2 linked regions of the Tribolium castaneum genome follow. The protein of the gene in region 2 interacts with the protein of the main gene of each other region in a biochemical or structural test. Links are inferred from orthologs where the notes say so. Each region holds a gene or a part of one and is shown on either strand. Other genes may lie near its edges.

What was found.
Region 1: the proteins of Drp1 (region 2) and Fis1 form a complex in vitro, tested with the Homo sapiens proteins (2 studies listed by BioGRID). The link is inferred for Tribolium castaneum from reciprocal best matches to the Homo sapiens genes DNM1L and FIS1.

Annotation. Positions count from the first base shown.
Region 1 is NC_087398.1:2,702,227-2,705,127, reverse strand, and holds Fis1 (mitochondrial fission 1 protein), read left to right. Parts: upstream 1-1,000; 5' UTR 1,001-1,129; coding exon 1,130-1,174; intron 1,175-1,266; coding exon 1,267-1,525; intron 1,526-1,574; coding exon 1,575-1,726; 3' UTR 1,727-2,123; downstream 2,124-2,901. UniProt on the Homo sapiens protein: Involved in the fragmentation of the mitochondrial network and its perinuclear clustering. Plays a minor role in the recruitment and association of the fission mediator dynamin-related protein 1 (DNM1L) to the mitochondrial surface and mitochondrial fission.
Region 2 is NC_087398.1:8,848,485-8,852,069, forward strand, and holds part of Drp1 (dynamin-1-like protein), read right to left. Parts: intron 3,561-3,585; coding exon 3,416-3,560; intron 1,691-3,415; coding exon 1,271-1,690; intron 1,222-1,270; coding exon 974-1,221; intron 924-973; coding exon 507-923; intron 458-506; coding exon 170-457; intron 118-169; coding exon 13-117; intron 1-12. UniProt on the Homo sapiens protein: Functions in mitochondrial and peroxisomal division.

The sequences.
Region 1 (2,901 bases), about 6.1 Mb from region 2:
CGTTCCCAAACGTAACATTTCCCGTTTTTTTCTCAAGTGGTCTAGTGCTGAACACAATTGATGAACTAGTCATAGTTAAATTATTATACCTAGAAAGAGTGAATGTTTTTGTAATTTTTGTGTGTAAAAACAAAGTGCATTTTATATTGTAAATAAACATAGTGTTTTGTACATATGACTTTAACCTTAACTATCAATATTTACAATAAATAAACTATTTCAGATCTTTATTTGCGTTTTTTATTTCTTTTAGTCATATCTGGATGTCTTTATATCAATAAAGAGCAACGCAAGAATTTAGTTCAAATTAAGTTCAGTTCTATTGTGCAAGAAAAACTAATTTCTTTCAAACACATTACCCAAGCCATACCTAAGACTATAAAATTCTATAAATAATTTGAAATATGTACTTGTAATCATTAACTTTTGTTTTACGTGCAGCATTAAAAAGTTATAAACCAACGAATGGATGGAAACACTTAATTGTAAATGTCGTAACATAAATGACCTCGCCACATGAAAAAAACATGGTGTGAATCACTTTACATGAGTTTAGCATTTGGCTTAGCCGTGCTATAATAATCCTTCGCAATTAACTGAAGTGTTAATTAAATTAGCTAATTCATCTTAACGTCTGTTTGTGTAAGCACTTGGCACATCTGCAGAATCAATTCTATTGAATTTCGCCTTTTACTGCGAGCAGTTTTGTGTTTTTTTGCAGCCCTAACATTTTTTTAATAAATAATACTCATTTTTTAATTTGTTGATCGATAAAAATAAAGGTTTCAGTGTTTTTCAAATTGGAGAACTGCACCCTATATTTAGTTTAGCATCCGGTTGGAGAGATGACGCTTGAAGGGTTGTTTTCTGTTTATCCAAACCCAGTGAAAGAACTCAACTGTAGGGTTGTTTAATAATTAATAAGCTTGAAATAAAATCTTCAATTCAAAAAGAGTATTGTTGGTTGCGGGTTCGCGTTACAGTTTCCTGTCGTGACAGCTGTGAGTGTTGGGATCGCATTTAGAGGTCACTGAAGTATAAATATTGAAGTTTTCACGTTGTCATCAAATGCGATTTTCATTCGACATTCACTGTTTTTCTTGAGGAAAATCCGTAAGTGAGGGTGAACATGGCAGGAGTTTTGACTGAAACGGTGGAACCCAGCGACCTAAAGGTGAGCGCCTTCGGAACCGCACCAAGTGCGCCATTCGCTCTGTCAACTTATCAATGAGTCATAATTGTTAATAAACACAAGGATAATTGCAGAAATTCGAGAAAATTTACCACGAACAGCTGTACAAAAACGACGTAACGCCTAAAGCTCAGTTCGAATACGCTTGGTGTTTGGTCAGGAGCAAGTATCCTGCCGACATACAGAAAGGGATAATTCTGCTGGAGGACTTGTACAAGACACACGAAGAGGGCCAACGGGACTATCTGTATTATTTAGCAATTGGGACGGCGAGGTTGAAGGAGTACACCAAAGCTCTCAATTATGTTAGGTCATTTTTGTTAATTGAGCCAGGTTTGCACTTTGGAATGTTTATGTAAGGTTTGGAACTTGGCTGTTTTAGGTAATCAGCAAGTCATTAGTTTACAACAAACGATTAAGAAGAAAATGGAAAAAGAGGGCTTGGTGGGAATGGCTATGGCTGGGGGGGTTGTTCTTGCTGTGGGTGCCATAGTTGGCGTGGGAATGGCTATAGCTAGCAAAGTTAAGTCTTAGTGCTTCCCACATATCAAATGTGATAGTGTTACCATTTTTACTTGTACCAAATTGTATTTTTTGTGTTTGTTTCGTGATTACATGAGTCTGTGTTATCACTTGTTTTATTAATTGGCATTTAATTTTTGGTTCAAACTTGGATAAATTAAATGTAACACTCGAAAAGGCACACGCTATTTTTATAAGGACTTTTTCATTTCAAATTATTTGTGTATTTGTGTAATTTAAAACAAGAAGTCAATAGGTGAAGAATGTATATTTTGCTCATTACTTCTTGTGTAGACTGTCACCATTATGCAAGCTGTGAATAGGTTGTCATTGATTTTTTAAGTTTAGTTTAATTTCTTAGTCATAAATCACTGTATATTGCTAAATAAATAATAAAGTTTTATCTAAATATTGTGTTTTTCTAAAGAAAATCTAAAATATGCTGAAATTATCTTCACCACAATACACTTGTATATTTGGTTGCATAGCTGTCAAACCAAGCTTTGCATTGATTTGAAATATCTATACAAACACTTTTTATTACCATTTTGATCTTAAATCTGAATTGACCAAATGTCTATTTTTTTCATTTACAATCCTATGGTATACTTGCGTTTACTTACACCAATTATTTCGAATTCATCGTAACTTTTTACCTTATGGAGAACAGAAAAGGAAAAAACAGCTTCAACAAACTATTTGAGAAAAAAATTGTAACAAAAAATCGACCAATAAATCACCATGTTAAGTATGTAAGTACTCGTATACAGTTTAGAGCTAAAATATCCAAAACTATAATTTTTAAAAATTATTTTTTTCATGAGAAAAGTCGGAAATATGTCTCCTGTAAAATATGGATATTTTTCACTACAGCTATGTCACTAATTTATCTGAGTCAGTAGCCTGGATTTTTTAAATTTTTGAGATTTTTTGGCCACAAGGACAAGCACATTTTTAAACAACCTATATCTTACTCGTAAAGTAACTTTCCTAATGTGAAAACACGTAATAAATTTCACTTTCCCGATTTATTTTTTCTTGTATTAGATCCGTAAAATTAGTAAAATGTTCCACATTTTTTTATTATTTTTATTCCAAGGTAGGTACACTTTTTTCGTTGTTTACTTTCGTTTTCAAATCGGCTTCGCTTCTTTGACACCACTCTAATACAAAAAAATCAAATTAGG
Region 2 (3,585 bases):
TAAAATATATACCTGAACAGCGTTCATGAAGTCATTATAACTAGACACGGGCAATATTCGAAAGAGATAATTAAAGAAATCGGCTTGGTCAGATGCTTCTACAGCACCACGTGCAATCTATAGAAAACAACTAAAATTGTGCAAAAATTTACAAAACATTAAAACATACCAACTCGGAAGTCTCCGCCACTGTATTATGGTGTTTGATTAGCATACTCTTTGGTCGATTTGGACGAGATCCGTCCCCGGATTTAATCATCGATGGCACCATTGCTATTTCTTTATAAAAATCGGGATGTTTGGTATTAATATACGCCAATTCGATTTGCACTAAATTTTCCACCATTTGGTTGGTCGTCGGAAGACGTCTCCGCAATAACTGTGTTACAACATCTACGATTTTTTCGTACAGTTTGGGAAACCGCAGCATTTCTTGCTGCACTTCGCTTCCACAATGCTAAAAACGGACACTGAAGCACAACTTTGGGGAAAACGTTATTAATTACTTGTATAATACGTTGCATTTCTTCGTGGATTAATTCAACGCAACGCAGTGATGGTTCTTCAAGACGTCGGATTTGCCTCTTGACTAGTAATTCGAAGGAAACTTCCGGGACGAAAAGGGCAGGTCGAGGCCCATTTGCATTCCGAATGGCGGTTAAAATATCCATTTTTGTCAAACCGGCCAAGGGGTGGATCGAGTCTAAAGTCCTCCCGAAAGTCTCGTGAAAAATGTAGCAAATTCTCGCCCCTCCACACAATTCAGTCGTTTCAATGTTTCGGGCAGTGCCTTCAATTGTGGAGCAGTAAGCTGAGGCGAATTTTGTGATAATCTGGAGCAAAGTTTTGCTCTTATCGGAAATATCTTCGCCGTATGAGTTAAGCAGTGATTGGAACTGGGACATCATTAAGTTCACGCGAGTCTGAAACGCTTGTTACTTTACCAAATCAAGCTAATTTGTACAAGACTTACCTTCAAGTCAGGTAAACAGTCTCTAATGTGGTGCATTAAAAGCCTATTTAAGGTTTTGGCAAGGTAGGGAGTACCGTTGCGAGTGGCTAAAGTGGGATATTTGCTTTGTAAAAATGTCGCTTCGTCTTTTAAGGCCTCTTTTATCGATTTGTTGTTCATAATATCTTGTTGTGAGCGATTTACGACACCGATTATGCCTAATTTTACTGGAATAACTCGGCCGCAAAGAATATCAATGGCGTCAGTACCTAGAATTTTTTTTCGTAATGTTATCATTAAGAAAAGCAAAATAAAAACCTGCGTCCATTAAGTCAAGTTTCGTAACGACAGCCAATGTTCTGCGACCATCAGGATCAACATCTTTCGCGATTGCTAAGCTTTCGGAAGTCGCCATGTCTGTGTTTGCCGTTACTACAGCTAATATTATTGAATTTGGATTAGCGATGTATTTTAGGACTAATTCGCGAATTTGTTGTTCAATGTCTGGAGGCTGGTCTCCGACTGGTACCTTGGTAATGCCCGGTAAATCCACTAAAGTTAAATTCACAACCTTTGTAGAGTAAATTTTCAAATTGATGGGTTCGGCACAAATGCCTTTGTTACTTCCAGCAATTTTGTTGGTCTCGTTCTCGATTTCCTGACGGATTTCTTCAAAGTCTTTGAAAATTTTGCTTTTGCAATGTAGAAAAACGCCCCACTCTTCCACATCCATTGTCCCTAAAAGTCATTGTGTTTTAAACACAATACAAACGGTATTTTTCGATATTGTGCTTTTTTTTCAAGTGAATTTTAGTAATAAAATAAAACGAAAAACAAAACATAACTCTTTACGCTCTATCAAAATTGTGATTAGAATTTATTGTGCTATAAAAAGCAAAAACACTACTGTTATGATTAATTAATAATTTAGTTTACAAAATAAAATATAAATATAATTAATTGTAACTAAAATGTAATTAAATTTACCGTTCTATCATAGTTAATAAACTGGAAATTTGGATCAACATATGCTAGTTTTAAGGTAAAAGGTTCTTAACATTAAAAAAATGTAAAAAGAAATTTTTCGTAAAATTTACATAGTTCGGAAATGACAAAAATCACAATTTTTTGATAGGAAATATTCTTTTGAAACAATTGTCATTCATGAAAAGAAAATATTTTCATTATTTTCAATTATATTTGTCAATCCGTATTGGTATTGTTGTGTATCACTATTATTATTACCATTAATTCATTAATTGATTGATTTATTGTTATCATACTCATAGTCTGAAGTGCACTTCTACTACTTAGATTAAAAAATTGATAATAAAATCACTCAGGAATAAAATAAAACAGAAACTTTTTTCTTTAAAAAAAAAGTCTAATTCCGTAACAGTTGTTTTTTGTTTCCATTTTAGAAATCTGTTGCCCGACTCACCTATTGTTCTGAAGACAAAATTTTATACAATAGCTTGTAACTATCATCCATAAATTAAAGAGAAATTGTTCAAGAGAATGTAGAGATTTTTGATAATTAGGACAGATTTCTAGAAACAATAATGTACTGGTAAATTAGATCAAAACTTTTAATTAAAAAAATAAGGAAAACAATAAATAATAATAGCAAAATGATTAATTTTTTTTTTTGAATTCTAATTTCAAAAGATTTCTTATCACTCGAGGATTTTTTCTCGAACAGTTATTTTTTGTATGTACTACATATGATCGAATAAAATCACTGCTTGAGTATACATTTTTTTAAACAAAATCTATTACAAACTTTGATGTGACTTGAAAAAAAATGGTTAAGTTTAACGTTTAATAAACCATTGTTTGTGGTAAATTTATTGTTTTTTTTTCGAACTTATGAGTCTCCGGTTTTTTACGTTTTAACGTAATATTATGTTTGTGTTTTTTCCTTCATAATCTCAATTGTGAATTGAAAGAAGTACTGATGGGCTTTTTCACTATTTGTTCCGACTTCAGCTGAATGTTGGAAAAATAATAAAAACTCAACCATCGCAGGCTAGTGTTATTGGTGGTATTAGATTGTTTTAGGTGACTTTCTATGTGCTCTGAAACTAATAACAATTGGCCACAAAAGTGTGACGTCATTTGATAGTCAATATTGCCAATTTAATTTTAAAATCACAGTAAAATAGTGTACTACTTTAAAAATATGCAATAAAATATCCGTATGTGGATTTTAATTTTAAGAATGTTATAATACAAGCATGAAATAAATAAGCATGAGCACAGTTAAAACGGGTCAACAAATAGTAGAAGTGGCCACGAAATCCATACTTGGATTCCTTTCATATTCAGTAGTGTGAATCATTAGATTACTTTTTATGATAACGTACCCAAGTAATTTACATTTTGACAAACAAATAGCTAAACAAAACTACATTTTTTCAAATTTTAACGTTTGGAATCAACGAATCACAGCAGTTTACTTACCATCGATTGCAGCTCTGTGCTCCCTATCATCCTTAGGACAATAAACTAATTGTAAAATAAGGGGTACTCTTGTAACAATCCCTGTTCCTCTTGGTAAAAACGACTTTCCAACTAAGCTTTCAATCACTGAACTCTTGCCCGAACTCTGCAAGATAGGTTATGTAAACCAA